4 linked regions of the Saccharomyces cerevisiae S288C genome follow. The gene in region 2 interacts genetically with the main gene of each other region. Each region holds a gene or a part of one and is shown on either strand. Other genes may lie near its edges. The genes, in order: PST1, RSO55, YGL140C and MIY2.

Region 1 (3,852 bases), on a different chromosome or scaffold from region 2:
AGGTAAGCTGGATATGCCATGTTTTAGCTACATGAAGCTGAGGACACCACTAAAATACGATTTAATTGTGGATGTAGATGAAGATAATGAGGTCAAACAAGTGTCGTTATCATATGACGAGACTAACGATGCTATTACTGCTACAGTCAGATATCCAGAAGCGGGACCTACTGCACCAGTCACCAAATTAAAGAAGAAAACCAAAACTTATGCTGATAAAAAAGCTAGTAAGAATAAGGATGGAAGCACTGCACAATTCGAAGAAGATGAAGAGGTTAAGGAGGTGTCTTGGTTTCAAAAGAACTGGAAAATGTTACTTTTAGGCCTATTGATTTACAATTTTGTTGCGGGCTCAGCAAAGAAGCAACAACAAGGAGGTGCCGGAGCTGATCAAAAGACTGAGTAAATAAAGTATTGTGATTTTTTAAATTTTTAAGTGTCGTTACTTTTATCTCTTTCCCGAAAATATTTGAATACATAAAATTTTTAAATAAATGTTTTTATTTGTTCACATGTCGTGAATGACAGGTACTAGTTATCAAAAATGAAGAATATTTCTTCATTCCATTACATTATAGACATGATGATTGCCGTCAAAAGACCGACCAAAGGGGTTGTTTGGCCAATTGGTGCCATGATAGCGGCATTGCCTTTGGAACTCTTAGAGCTAGAGCTGGAAGCGCCAGAACTAGAAACACTAGAGGCAGAAGCAGCAGCCTTGATATCGCCAGAAGTGAACTTCTTTTCCTCGGCCTTAGAAGATGACTTGGAAACCTTGGCAGTAGTTTGGCTTGATTGAGATTTGGAAGTGGACGATAGTTTAACAGATGTGGATGATGCACCATTTTTGCAGACAAAAGATTCACCCTTGATACCCCCTTTCTTTTGCAAAGCTTTCAAAGCATTACAGGAGAAATTGCTTGACTTTGATTCGACATCTGCGCCACCCTTGACAGACTTCAAAGAGTCTAGGTTCAAGGAGGTGAAGTTACCAACAACTTCCAAAGTACCGCCAATGGTTGTTAGGTTGTCGAGACCACCAATTTTTTGTAAACCAGTGTTGTTAGCAACGACAAGAGCACCACCTATGGTTGACAAATTAGAGAACGACAAGTTCTTCAAGTAGTCATTGGAAACGATACTGAAGGTTTGGCCAATGGTGTTTAGCTTAGTGAAATTCAAACTTGAGATGGAGTTGTTGATGAAACCCAATGAAGAGTTAATCTTTTGCAAGTTAGCGAAGGAAACAGAGTGGACATCGGTCAAACTGATATTGTTTGCCCAAACCAAGTCATCGAAGGTGATTTTAGTCTGGTTACCGTTGAACGAAAATTGTAAAGAATCGCTGACTGTTTCAACTGGAGATTTGATCGAGGTTAATTTCTTATTGTTATTGACGTTGAACACGTTAACTTTTTTCAAGGCTGAGAATCCATCGACAGATTGTAACGAAGTGTCGGAAATATAAATGTTGTTAGCAGATTTGATATTTGAAGTAAAACTGGAGATGGCGGGTAGAGTAATCAGTTTTATACTATCAACGCTCTGTAAAGACCCAAATGAAGCAGAAGTCAAGATTGTCAAACTCTGTAGGTTCAAAGAATCTGTGATGGACTCCAAGGAATCAGCAGCGAATGAGGTTAGATTTGTAGCGTTAAATATAGTTAGAGACCCGTTGATTTCTTTAACATTAGCCAAAGCACCAGTCTTCAAACCACCACCAATAGTTAAGTTCCCGACTAACGTATCACAGCGGCTATATTTATCTAAGTCACTCTGAGCTGTGGCCGTGGCATGTGAGCTTATGGTACAGGAAGAGGGTATGCTGGAAGAAGAGGAAGTAGCAGCCAAAGCTGACGTTATTAAGAGCGCAGTTGAAGCGATAAGTGAATGTAATTGCATGATATTTTTATAGCGAGCTTTTTTTTTTTGCTTCTCTCTTGGATTAGATCTATTGCAGCGTGATGTACTGTAAGATTCTATTGAACTATACAGAGCAAGAGTTGAATAGAGAAGAATATGCACGCTATTTATATGTTTATCTGTAGAGCATATATGGGTTTGCTCGTAAGGAACCTTGAGCGGTTGAATGATATTACTTAGAGTTAATGCTATGAAAACCCAGCCCAATCATTCAACATTACTCTTTGTAGTAATAAACTCTGATCAAAGTCCGAATCAGGGCAGTGTGCCTACGCTATTTTTAGAGACTCGTAACACTATTAAAACTAAAAGCCCTCTCTACTAATTAAGATATCCCAGCTTTGTGGTCTTTTTTGGGTTTCTTTGGTTTTTTTCCCTCAAGGATACCGAAAATGCGGGCCTTAATTTAAAGCCTTTTCCGTAAAGAGAAAACAAAAATGAGTTGGCGGGTCAACGGGGAGTGCTATTTTAAACGACTCAAATACATTTGAAAAAGAAAAAAATAGCCGCCCAGCTCCCACGTGCATATCACGTGCATTATAACCCGGTTTTCAGATAATAGAAATCCGCTCACTCTATTTATTTAAACGCTTTCTTTCTTTTTTTTTCTATTTATGGGGCCCACCCGCGGAAGAAAAGAAAAGCGGGCAATTACTAATGCGGGTTCAGTCCAAAGGAGATTTGATGTGGCAATAGCATCATAATGATGGAACCTACGTTAAGTGCGTTAAATAGGGAGAACTGTTTGTCACTTTATTCTTGTATACCGCTCTTAGTAATGATTTGTTTATGCTCTTTATCGTAACCTGCGCTTACAAAACTAACCACGTGCAGCATCGTCTTGTGTTTGTCCGTCCCTTGGGGTTCTTCGGATTTTCTATCTCCTCTTTTTTTTTCCTTACACTTTCATTTTGGGAAAAATTCGATTCTTTTTCTTTGATTTTTTTTTGGTTTCCTCTTGAATCTGTAAAGAACAAGAGCAGAAACTTAAAGTTAAGAAGGACAATAAAGAGCATACTATTACAAAATAATAGGAGCTTTGCGTTTGTTATTTCAGTCGAATAGTACTCCTTTATACTCTCTGCCGCTGACATCTTTGTCCTTTACTGTTTAGGACTTATAGCGACTGTTATTTTTTAGTACACCAAACAAGGAAAAAAGAACAATACAACGTAAATATGAGTAGTCGCAAAAGCACCGCTTCTAGCTTACTGTTACGGCAATATAGAGAACTTACTGATCCTAAGAAAGCTATTCCCTCATTTCATATAGAACTAGAGGATGATTCAAATATTTTCACTTGGAACATAGGTGTTATGGTGCTAAATGAGGATTCCATTTATCATGGAGGGTTTTTCAAAGCTCAAATGAGATTTCCGGAAGACTTTCCCTTTTCTCCACCACAGTTTCGATTTACGCCGGCTATCTACCATCCAAACGTTTACAGGGATGGCAGGCTTTGTATTTCTATTTTACATCAAAGTGGGGATCCTATGACCGACGAACCTGATGCTGAAACGTGGTCCCCCGTGCAGACCGTGGAAAGTGTGTTGATCTCTATAGTATCTCTATTAGAGGACCCCAATATCAACTCGCCAGCAAATGTCGATGCCGCTGTTGATTACAGAAAGAACCCTGAACAATACAAGCAAAGAGTCAAAATGGAAGTGGAAAGATCGAAACAAGATATCCCTAAAGGTTTCATAATGCCCACTTCTGAATCGGCGTACATATCTCAAAGTAAACTAGATGAACCAGAATCGAATAAGGATATGGCGGATAATTTTTGGTATGATAGTGATTTGGACGACGATGAGAACGGGTCCGTCATTTTACAAGACGACGACTACGACGATGGAAACAACCATATCCCCTTTGAAGATGATGACGTTTACAACTATAACGACAACGACGACGATGACGAAAGAA
Region 2 (2,821 bases):
CGTCTGTCCTGTTACCGGCCAGCTCCAGTTCTCTCTTCAACTGTTGTATTTTCTCCTGGCTAACATTCTTCCTTGGACGGCCCATTATTATTTACGTGTATTGTTGGTAGTTAGCCCGAAGATTATGAGTACGTGAAATACACTTGTCTTTATGAAAGAGTGGAAAAATGGTGGGGAGTAAGTTATACTATTGACGTGTAAAAAAAAAAAAAAAAAAATGTTAATGGAACGACCGATCTAAAGAACCATATATAATGAATGACTAAAAAAAGCAAAATAGTTAAGAATCCAAGAAAGATACTAAGAAAAGGCGAAAAGAAAAAGAAAAAGTATGTCCGCTAACAAAGATTAGCGTATAAGCACCACACGATGCGATTCAGGTCTCAACGTGCAGTGTGCAGGAGCAGGAACTATTCAATGTATTGTTGTTCCAGGGTTTTTGTTCGCAACCCACGTCTTGACCGACGGTACCCGCAGGTGAAAATTTTAGCAAAGTTACACTTTTTTTTTCATTTTTTTTTTTCTTTTCTCCTCCATCTAATTTCACCTGCGGTTACCGGCGGAATAACTCGCGCACCATTTCTCTGTCTCGGGCCTCGCGTTCCTCTTTTTCGACTCGAGCGGCCTCTTCACGCTGCTCGTACTTCGCGACGCTGCGCCGGCGCTGCGAGCGTTTCTGTTGACGGTGCCACTGTAGAAGCGCCTCCTCTCTGGACGGCATCGTGTCGTACGACGCCGCAAGTTCGCGCGCGAGCTTAAGCCGGGCAAGCTTTCGATTTTGCTCACGTGACCGCGTTTCTTGGCACTCGACAACGATCCCAGTGGGTTCATGCCGTAGTTGTACCTTAGAATTACACTTATTAATCTTTTGGCCACCGGGCCCTCTGCCGCCATGAAGGAATTTCTCAGTGCATTGTGCTTCCATCTCTGGCGTGAACTTTGGTCGCGGTGGTAGCTTGTTCTTTTTAATCAGCAGCACTGCGGCACTGCTGATTGACCTCTTACTCGCTCCCCTCATCATAGTTTACTAGTCTCGGATTCTTCTGCGCTTTTTCCAGGGTCGCATAGCTTGTAGGTTGGTAGCATAGACTTATATATAAACTCATATCCGTTCTAGGAACGTATAGCGCGCTATGGTAGTCCGGGGAAAATGCACAGTTTAGTTAAGTGTATAGTAATTTTATCGATAAAGGAAGAATGGAAGAGGTTTATGTATACATGTAAACTCTGAACATCTAATAGACTAATGATGCGGTTAATACGTACATTGCCGCTTCGATGCTTCAAAACTAGAATACGGCGGCAAGGCTCGTTGTTGTGTTTGCGGTGCTTTAGTTCGTATTCAAAACCACTTTTGCAGAAATCAATGTCATTGAAAAATATCCAGTTATCAGACCTATCCTCATCGCCATTATCCAAGAACAAGGAGAAGCAGGAGAAGCCAGAGAAGGAAAACGAAGGAAAGCACTCCATTGGCCTGTTAGACAGATTTTCAGAGGACTTTATTACTCAGGGCAATGGATTGAAACCTACTACTTCACAAAATCAATTGGATACTATAAAGTTTTATCAAATGCTTCGTGAAAGAGGCAATTTTTCCGATGAACAATGTAAAATTATCATAGCTCTATTGTTGCAACTACTAAATGATCAGTTTTATTCCTGTTACAATGATTTGTTCTTAAGGGATATGGAGCTGAATAAACAATCACATTTGTTCAGCTCGCTAGAAACAGAATTGAAATTCGCAATTCAAAACTCTAGAGACACGCAACTAAATGAGCACCACTTGCAATTATTAAAACTCAAGAGAGAACTTAACTCAATCCATGATGAACTGAATGAAATCATAATAGATCTTTTGCAAAAGGACGCTAAATTAGAATTTAACAATCAAAAATTAGAAAACACCCTTTTGTATCGACAATTAAACCTGAAATTGAACGACTGTTCTAACAAGATTCAAACCAAGATACTGGGGGATATCAGGTCACATATCGAAAATTTAAGATGGCAGACAACCAGAAGCGGTCTTTTGGTAATATTAGTCCTTGTTTGTTCGATTATGATCGGTGTAAGCGCATCTAAGAAGGAACGCCCAGGTTTACAGGAACCTGAGGAACCTGAAATTTTAGCACCAAAGGAAGACATTGATACTACCTTCCCTCAAGATCAACATGATATAGATTAATTAGCATACATATTGTCTGTACATAAGTATATTGTGTGTGCGTTTTGTTTCACTGAGAAAGCGGACGTCATAAACGATGCTTCCTTTGTTTCGAGCCCAGCTGCCTAAATCTTTTTAAGGGCTCTCCATCTACCCAATACTTGAGAGATTCATTTACTTCCACTGAGTTAGCCTTATTGAATGCATCGATGTGGTTCGATTTCAGCAATTTTTTCATCCCTAAGCAACTGGGCAGGTATAGCCCTTTCACTTTCTCCCTCAATTCTTCTAAGACCTTTGCATTGAACGCTTCAGCGTTTGAAGATGGCATGTTAAAATTCTTGCTTATAAATCCGTTCTCGCACATTATATCGTACTTGAATGGTTTGTTGAACATGAGGCATTCATACGTCGTATTTGTGCCAAACTTCAATGGCAAAGAGACCGTTGTACCACCTTCGGTAATTAGTCCTAAGTTAGCAAAGGGGTATAGCAAATAAACCTTGTCATTTATACTGTACACAATGTCACATAACGCTACCAGTGCCGCGCTCAACCCTATTGCTGGTCCATTCAAACAGCAAATTAAAACTTTGGAATGCTTGATGAAGGCATCAGTGACATAAACATTTCTAGCGACAAAATTTGACA
Region 3 (6,043 bases), on a different chromosome or scaffold from region 2:
AGTTTGAAGAGAAATTGAATTTTTTGAAATTTGTCACGTCCGTTCCGCAAGCTCCTCTGCAAGGCTTCAAGGCATTAGATCCAAAATTTGGTATCAGAAATGCAGGGACAGAGAAATACAGGCTGCCTACGGCATCTACCTGTGTTAATTTATTAAAATTGCCAGATTATAGAAACAAAACAATTTTGAGAGAGAAATTATTATATGCAATAAACTCAGGCGCCAGGTTTGACTTATCATAATTCCCAGAAGATTAGGGAGGTAATTAATTAATAGGCAGATTTCTAGTTCTTATATATTACTATAGATAAGGAAATTATACGCTTGTATGCAGAGATAATTTAAGTTTTGCTTTGTTCGCCACCATTCTAGTTATGACCTTTATCTATCATTCTATTTTTTATTGGAAAGGCTTTACAAAAAACAAACAGTAAAAATTCTTTAAGCGAAGTGAAATCGACAATGAATATGAAATTGGTAATTATCTTACATTAGGACTTTTCAATATCTTAGTCCTTCTTTTCTTTCATGTGACTTAGCACCATTTTCAAAGCTAATGGCAAATCATCATCAGAGCTTTCATCATCATCGTTCAGATAATTAGGATCCGCATTACCAAGGGTGCTGTGTCTGCTTAAGCTTGAAAGTTGGCCGGAGGTAGAAGTAATGGAAAATGCTCTATTTCTAAATGTCTTTGGTAAGCCATCCGCGTTTTGGCCTGCTTTATGAGAAGCAATCCGTAATAAATTCAACGCTGCCGGATTATCATTTTTTTCGTATGCCACTGGACATTCCGGCTCATAACTTCTTGTGGAATCAGGAGAAATTTGAGATTCATTAGAATTTGTACTTTGTAAACTTTCATTTCCTTCGGAAATGATGGAAGTACCATCAAATGGGGTCCGATTGCGCCGTGTATTCATAGGATTGCTTTTCCCGTTAATGAAATTATCAAATCCTGTTACTGCCTCTGCAGCCCAGTCCTCGTAAAGTGGACGCGATAAAAACCCGTATTTAAACTCATTTACACCGACCAGAATTTTAGTTAAATTCAACAGCTCTTCAATATACTCAATTATTTCTTCCGATGCAGCACTAGATGCGTTCCAACTTAAAAATTTTTCTTTTAAAACATATTCATGAGGATTAGCTGTTGTGTTGGCCTGTCCCCTTCTATTCATTTTCATTACCAAACCTTCGTTATCATCGTCATCTTCATCCTTGCCGTCAGCGTAATCTCCTTCATTTGGCTTTCTTGCTTTATCACTTAAATTTGAAATCTGCCCAGGATATCTTATTCGCAGAGTTTGGCGCACTTTATTAATCAGCCTTCTATGTGCAATTCTTGCGCTGGGCAAAAATTGCGGTAACGGGGTCTTATTTATAAATGCCTCTTGAAGTGCTCTCATTAGGCAAGAAATACTTCCAACCATTTGGCGTCGATATGGATATACAACACTGTTAAATTCTTCAATAACCGCACTTCCATTTTGCTTTCTCAGCAAGGAAATTGTATCTATCCTCTCTATTATTTGCTTCTGAATAAATATAACTTGAGTGAAAACATTTTCCAACTCGGTATATTCACCCTTTAATCTCGGCTCTTGTCTGGTTAGTCCTTTATAGGCCGTAGCACGGGCTAACGCCTCTTTAGCACTTTTTGATATCTTTTCGATTTTTTTGTATTTCTCTTCACTCATACTACTTGCGACTTGCTCTCCTTCCAGTCCGGTGGCGTAGAGAAGTTCCATTTCCGATATACAGCCACAGACAAAAGAAATCTCTTCATTTAATTGTTCCCGTGCCTTCAATGGAAAGAAAAAGACTTGAACTATTAATGCTACCCCTCCACCATAGCCGACAGCTAAACATCTCTTGGCGAAACTAGTCAATATATCATCTTGGGAGGGAAGTATTGCTGCAAGCATAACAATATAAATACTAATAATTTCAATAATTGCAGCCTTCACATAGGGTGTGCCTAATAAATAGTAAAACCCAGGAATGGCTCCAAAAACTGTGATGACTGTCTCCAAATATGGATTGGTTTGGTTGACAGCAGCAACATAGGAAAGATAACCCCAGGCTGCTCCAAAAATAACCCCCACAGCACGCAAAAAGAAGACCCAGAACGTACCTCCTACGGAAGGTTCCAAACAAAGTATGCACACGAAACCAATCCAGGTACCACGATAGTCTATGTACCACTGCCTTGTCTTTGGAATAAACATCGGAAATGAAGCCAGCATTAATGCAATGGCTACCTGAAATCCAAATCTAAAGTGAGGATGTGACACTTCACAAAACTTATCAATTGAAATAAGCATGGACATAAAAGAAAATCTGCCTTGCCTCCTGGAAGTTCTATTAGTTCCGAACGTAGTTGTTTTCGTTAACGTTAATGGCGACGAAGAAGTGTCAGAGGTAGAAGATGAATTTCCTTTGGGTTCACTTGTCATTGGCAGATCTAGCGATGCATCATCTTTTACAATGTTCTTATTCGATGAAACTTTTTGAGATAAAAGTTCATTCTCTTCATAATCAGGCCTTCTAATAACTGTGTCATGAGCAAAACCATTAGTATTACCATTGAACGTACCCTTTAATGTATCATTTTCAGTCACTGAGTTCCTATCGCCTTTTAACCAGATAGAAAATGTCTCGTAGTTGGTCAACACTAAAAACCAAAGTCTTTTGCCTCTCAGCCAGCCCTTCTTCTCTTGTATTTGACGTTTGACTAAAATGTCCTTGACGGACTCCATAATTACCAAAGTTGAATCTGCAGTTTGCCTAAAATTTAGTAGAAAGCTAGACAACAAAAACATTTCATCACTAGGACTCATAATATCAATATCAAAACTTAACATTTCTGACTTGAATTTTGCTTTACATTCTTCTAACGCCTGCTTCAGGTCATTGATCTTGTTCTGGATGTCAACATCATTGGGCAGATTATTGGCGTTATTACTGAATGTTGGGAAGTTACCATCTTTGAACATTGAGCAGGAATGAACCCTTGAAACTTTCACATCAAATGCATGAGCAAGTACCAACTTTGCTATGTACATGCATTCACTCATTGTCCGGTGTAGACTATAAATCACTGGATGCAACTTGTCAATAACTTTCAACAACTTCTCAGCATTTGCAAAGCTGATTTCTTTGTTCTTTGGCAGTGTCAAAGCTGCGACATCATCAGGCCTGAGCTTGTTATCATGTCTTGCCAATAAAATAAATTCTAATTGGCATGTATTAACTAATCCATTAATGAAGACTGTCAAATTTTCCAAAGTAGATATGATTGGCTTTAGTTTAGTTGGCGAAACATAAGCGTAAGTAAACTCATAAATGCACTCGTGAAGTACTACTCGACAGTTGTTAACTTTAGAAGAAATCAGTGACTTCATCTTCAATAGCTTGCCTAACGAAACAGGATCTCTACTGTACAACTGGCTACTATTGTGCGGGTCAACTGCAATGAAGAAATTTATCGAATAGTCAATGGACTTATGGAGCTCATTCATAGCATCAATAGTCGTATTACCCAAATATGTGGTACCCCACTCAGGAAACAACACAAGATTCCAGAAAATCGACATTGCAATACCCAGGTAGAAAGGCGTACTATAAGCTTTAGCAATAGTGCCTGCTGTTTCATTCAAAGGATCCATAAATGCGAAATGAACCACGACAAAAAGTGGGAAAACAATACCAAAGTAATAGTGTGATACAGATCTCATCCAACCATGAAAAAAAAGCATAATTACTTCGAAAACAGCCAAAATTGCTAATCCCGCTTCATATCTTTTATAGTGCAATACGTGCTGCTGTGCCTCTGTTAGCTCATGCCAAGAACTCCCTAAACATCGCTGCGCAAGGAACCGGCCGAAGATTGCGTAAGCTAGGCCAAATATCAATCCAGTTATGCAATAGATAGCACCATGGATAGTACCCCCGACCCTTCTTCCAGGGTGAACAATAACAGAAATCATTGGCAGCATCGCAGGAGCTGCTCCCAAATGCGCAGTTATCTTAGGTATCAAGCAAAATATGAAAGCTACCGTAGTATTAACAGTCGATTTACATATTCTCTTCGCGAGGATTCTGTCACAGGGGAAATAATACAGCCATAACTTCTGAATCTTAGTCAACTTTGATTTAAGCGACATGGACAAATAATGAAGTCAAGCAATTGATGCAAAGGATAAGGAAGATTTTCTCGCTTGAAAATATGTTCTCTTCGAACTCCAGGATAGGATAGGAATAAAGTAAAAATAGTGTATGATACGTAGTTAGGCCACAACCACAATTATAACCTCTCGATAGCAGGTGTTAATAGAGATGAAGGTAGATCCTGGATTTCTCTTTTCTTTCTTTAGACATCAAACTGGTAGTTCTTATCAGTCTCAGCCTTTTGAAGACCTATCAATTTTATGAGGAGGGTAATGGTTGCTTCCTTTTCCCTAGCAGCGGCCCATCGCTTTAGCTTCAAATAGTTGATTCCTTTAACTGTTGACTATGAAAAGGTAGTCTTCGTTGGGATTGGGGATAAAAGAATATCTGAATACTGTTGCTGTCCGTGCCATTTACTAGCTTACGGACGCTATCAAATTAACTCAAAAACGCTTCTGTTCATCCGCTTTCCAGAAGATCAACGCTCAAAAGACAACAAAACAATTCGAAGACGTCATTCGTTATAGAGTGCCAATCAACATTGGTGGGTACTAGAAAACTTCTTTGCAAAGTATAGCTAAGAAAGGTCTTTTTATTTACGAGCGGGCCATAAATAAAAAAATTTCAACAACAACAACAACAACAACAACAACAACAACAACAAATAGTGGAGACTAGAAAAGTATACCCCTCACAGGCATGAGATTTCTTCAGGTTTATAAATCATCGGCATTAATTGGACTAATAATATTGTTAGCCAGTAAAGTAAATCTTGCAGAGGCAAAAAGGAAGCTGGTAGCCACATCATTGGTCACATGTATGGAAAACTCGCAGCTGTCAGCAAATAGTTTTGACGTTGTTTTCAATCCAGACGACAGGTCATTACATTATGATCTTGATATGTCAACTCAAATTGATTCATATATTTTTGCTGATATTGATGTCTACGCATATGGTTTCAAGATCATTACTAAAAATGTCGATCTTTGTTCAATCAACTGGAAACAGTTTTGCCCGGTTCACCCAGGTAATATTCAGATCGACTCTATTGAATACATCTCCAGTGAGTACGTAAATGAAATTCCTGGTATTGCATACCAAGTCCCCGATATCGACGCATATGCCAGGGTCAAGATCACCAACAATGTGAGCGAGTACCTAGCATGTATCCAAATATACTTCTCAAACGGTAAAACAGTTTCTCAGATTGGTGTAAAATGGGCAACTGCAGTGGTAGCGGGAATTGGTCTTTTACTATCTGCCATCTTATCCACTTTTGGGAACTCTACCGCAGCCTCACATATTTCTGCCAACACAATGTCACTTTTCTTATACTTCCAATCTGTTGTCGTGGTTGCCATGCAACATGTTCATCGAGTTCCGCCTATTGCAGCCGCCTGGGCGGAAAACTTGGTTTGGTCAATGGGGTTAATTAGAATCTCATTCATGCAAAGGATTTTCCGGTGGTATGTGCAATCCACTGGTGGTACGCCTAGCTTATATCTGACTTCAACATCTATGTCTGTTTTGGCTCAAAGAAGTTGGCAATATTTGATGGAGCTCCCATTAATCAAAAGAGCTACCAATGTTTTGTATGGTAATGCAAATACATTAATTTTTAGAGGAATCAAAAGGCTAGGCTATAAAATGGGAATCGAAAATACGTCCATCGTTTGTACCGGTTTTACTTTCTTCGTCTTATGTGGATATGTGTTGGCTGGATTTATCATAGTATTCAAATGCTGTGTGGAGTTAGCCACCCGGTTAGGATGGATCCAAAAGGCAAGGTTTTGGGAATTCAGGAAACAATGGAGAATGATCTTAAAAGGTGCTCTTTTAAGATATATTTACATCGGTTTCGTTCAGTTAA
Region 4 (3,209 bases), on a different chromosome or scaffold from region 2:
AGCGTTGTCTTCTTTCATTGCTGTCATTTTTTGGAGAAGTATTTATATATTTATTAGTTATTTAATGTGTTTATAAATTTATCTTGAGGCTGGTGAAATCTATTCCAAGTATTTTAAATATGTTTGCAAATGCGAGTCTACTACTTTGGTTCCATATGATGTCAGTTTTACAACAATTTATACTAGAGATAGCCAATATACTTGTTTCAGTTCTGTTTTGCCGTAATGGAATTATAGCTCCGACAAATGTAATCTTATGCACTGAAATTCAATCCATTGTGACAAGAATTATGTATTTTAGTTCTTATTTGATTTATTTCGACGCCTCGCGCGCGCTCTTAGAATCCGGCCCGACAAAGGATCTGAAACAAGTATAAATCAAATGGCCAATATAATGTCAAGCCTGTTTTATGTGGCAATGTTTAGACAGAAAATCACGCCTGTAGGGGTCCACATATCTCCAGAATAATTAGAGAGTCGGTGTCCTTATGAGATCTTCCTTAAAGCGAACAGATTGATTAATCATGTTTTACGCGAGGATATACGATAAAAACAAGTGAACAGCTCTTACATAACAACGCACTCACTTTTCTCTTTTTCAGAAGCTTTTGCATTGAGAAGGCTGCTTCTTCGCTTAAACTTGTCTTTTTTGACTGGTGCGTGTATTTCTGAGTTTTTTTTGTGAGAATGGATTTTCCTTTTTGCTTCAAATTTCGTAACACGTTCTTGTTCTTGTTCCTGTAACTGTTTGGCTAGTTCTTTATCGTTTTCAATTTGCTGAATTTCTTCAAGTAGCAAATTTCCAGTTCCAAAATCACGTTCAATGTCAGTTGACAATTGCTGTCCATTTACCTCTGCTGCACTAAAGTTACCGGCAAAAAAAGCATCGCAGGAGCCGTCCACCGAATCTAGGGATTGCCATACAATATCTTTACAATTTTTATAACCAAAGTCCGTAACCAATGTGTATAATCGATCTTCGTATTTGAACAATGTAGAAAAATGGTCATTTCTGAATAAAATGGAGAATTTGTTGTGTAGCAGCTTTTCTCTCAATCGTAGGAGTCCAAAGGCGGTCAACTGAGTCGGTGATTCGTTCAAAAACAGACCCAAATGCATGGCATCACGTAAAACTTCGTCCGAGTTTTCATCTTGGGAAATTCCACAATTTATATCAGCTGCTTGTGTTAAGATTCTCTGCGCAGATTCATAAGAATAATGAGATAGTTTCTCATCAATGTTTTCATTTATGAAACTGTTGATAACCCAGCCATGGACAACATCAACGTTAAACAATCGAAATATTGACATCTCTTTAGTATTTTCAAAAGACCCATTAAACTCAGGGTTAATATTTAAACCTTCATGTAATCTAGGTAACAAACTTAGTAACTCACTTATATCAGTACTAGGTTTATCTGTAACTTGTAAAGCGATATCTGCTAAGACTTCAATAAGTTCTTTTAAAGATATTTGACTTCCCTTATTTACCAACCTTATTAACTCATTGGAAAAACGTGTATGATCTGGTGAAAGTATTAGAATATTTGCAAGTGCTAACAAGGCACAAGGTCCGTTTTCGTTTTGCAGTAATATTCGATGGTTTTGACCATTAATTTTGACACTTTTAGTCGTGAAACTTAAATCCATGAAAAGATATTGCAATAAACAAGAATTGCAGTGATGTGAATCTACTTTGAGCTGTTCTTTAAAGCGCCTTGTAGAATGGGCATTTTGTCCAACGTTTTCAAGACCCTTTTTTCGTACTGCTCGCTGTTAATACTGCGAAACTAAAATAAACGACAGGCAGATGACTAAAACAAATCAAACAAGAACCTCTAGGGAAAGGTGTCCTAAGCGCGGAACTTCTTTTCGTTATGGGGTAAATAGAGCGGTACTTAATAATCTGTTTACAAAGCAATTTTACAAAGTTTTGATATAAGAACATTTAACTAAAGAGAAGAAAAAGAAATGAAAAGCCATTCTCTTGGCAGAGGAAACAAATGAAGAGGTGCGTGTAAGTGAAATAAATAGACCAAATAGCATTTGATAAGGAAGAAATAAAAGAAATTTATAACAGGGTAAAGAGTTTTTCGTTCTGAAAGAGATGCAGCAATAGTAAGAATTAAGTCCTAGTCCAATTTGGGAAGGGAAAACGATTAAAGCATAAACCGCTATGTCGAATTTATGCAAACCATATCAATCTACTTTCCTTAAAAATTTTTCGTCCAATTAAAAGAATTCAAGTATAATGTACAAGAAATGGAAAAGATTGAAAAAAGGGAGTCTATTTTTGTAGTTTTGCTAAACTATCTAATAGACTTTGAACATTATTGCCAGCAGGTTGCTGTTGCTGTTGCTGTTGCTGTTGTTGTTGTTGTTGTTGTTGTTGAGGTGGCGGAGGTTGGTGTGACATTGGTGGGGCAGAGGGTTTTGCAGATATATTTTGACCATTGTAATTGGTACTCATAGGAGGGGGAGAGGATGAGTTCATAGAGGAATATCCACCCAACTGTTGTTGCTGTTGTTGAGGAGCCTGGCCTTGCATTGATTGTATTAAACCAACCAATTGCTGCTGAGCATGAGGTTGTTGTTGCTGTTGTTGGGCCATTGAAAGCAAATTCGATACAACGTTAGGTGGAAGGTTTTGAATGGCAGATAATAGTTGTTGCTGGTCCATTGGAGTTTGAGAAGGTGGTTGAGGAGGCGGACCAGCCTGATAACGACCATACCCTTGAGGAATTTGTTGTTGTGGAGGTGGTGGTGGAATAGAAGTCTGGTAGCGACCGTAGCTCTGATTCATTGGAATTGGAGGTTGAGAACCATATCCTTGGTCATGGGATGGTGGTGGCATCCCATAATTACCATATGGCTGTTGCTGTTGTTGTTGTGGAGGAGGCATACTGTAACCCTGGTAATAGTTTGTTTGAGGAGGAGGTCCGACAGCTGGGCCGTTTGGAACAGGAAGAGGAGGAGCGCCATATATGTTTTGCTGATGGCTCATAGCACGGTAATCAGTAGGACGAGAATTATTTCTGTTGTTTTTGATGTTATTAAAAATGGCAACTGCGTCATCAGCGGATATGCTAATATATTCATCAAATTTCGTTTCACCTTGTGAGCCTTTGTAGAAAGTTTGAACATCTACATTGTGTGTTTTATTAACTAAAACAACGCCCCACACCCCATTATATGCGGCATCATTGATA

What was found.
Region 1: mutations in RSO55 (region 2) and PST1 together harm fitness more than expected from each alone (negative genetic interaction), as found in Saccharomyces cerevisiae (one large-scale study listed by BioGRID).
Region 3: mutations in RSO55 (region 2) and YGL140C together harm fitness more than expected from each alone (negative genetic interaction), as found in Saccharomyces cerevisiae (one large-scale study listed by BioGRID).
Region 4: mutations in RSO55 (region 2) and MIY2 together harm fitness more than expected from each alone (negative genetic interaction), as found in Saccharomyces cerevisiae (one large-scale study listed by BioGRID).

What each region holds. Positions count from the first base shown.
Region 1 is NC_001136.10:561,577-565,428, reverse strand, and holds PST1 (Pst1p), read right to left. Parts: upstream 1,903-3,852; coding exon 568-1,902; downstream 1-567. Other genes in the region: EMC10 (Emc10p), read left to right, coding at 1-406; SCF E2 ubiquitin-protein ligase catalytic subunit CDC34, read left to right, coding at 3,102-3,852. UniProt on the Saccharomyces cerevisiae protein: Has a partially redundant function to ECM33 in cell wall integrity. May be involved in a repair mechanism activated in response to cell wall damage.
Region 2 is NC_001144.5:703,940-706,760, forward strand, and holds RSO55 (Rso55p), read right to left. Parts: upstream 1,022-2,821; coding exon 554-1,021; downstream 1-553. Other genes in the region: YLR278C (uncharacterized protein), read right to left, coding at 1-85; PUT7 (Put7p), read left to right, coding at 1,247-2,191; ECI1 (dodecenoyl-CoA isomerase), read right to left, coding at 2,259-2,821.
Region 3 is NC_001139.9:240,844-246,886, forward strand, and holds YGL140C (uncharacterized protein), read right to left. Parts: upstream 4,170-6,043; coding exon 510-4,169; downstream 1-509. Other genes in the region: ubiquitin-ubiquitin ligase HUL5, read left to right, coding at 1-242; FLC3 (putative flavin adenine dinucleotide transporter), read left to right, coding at 4,873-6,043.
Region 4 is NC_001148.4:183,030-186,238, forward strand, and holds MIY2 (ubiquitinyl hydrolase 1), read right to left. Parts: upstream 1,651-3,209; coding exon 568-1,650; downstream 1-567. Other genes in the region: pheromone-regulated protein PRM3, read right to left, coding at 1-27; NAB3 (Nab3p), read right to left, coding at 2,288-3,209. UniProt on the Saccharomyces cerevisiae protein: Hydrolase that can specifically remove 'Lys-48'-linked conjugated ubiquitin from proteins. Has endodeubiquitinase activity.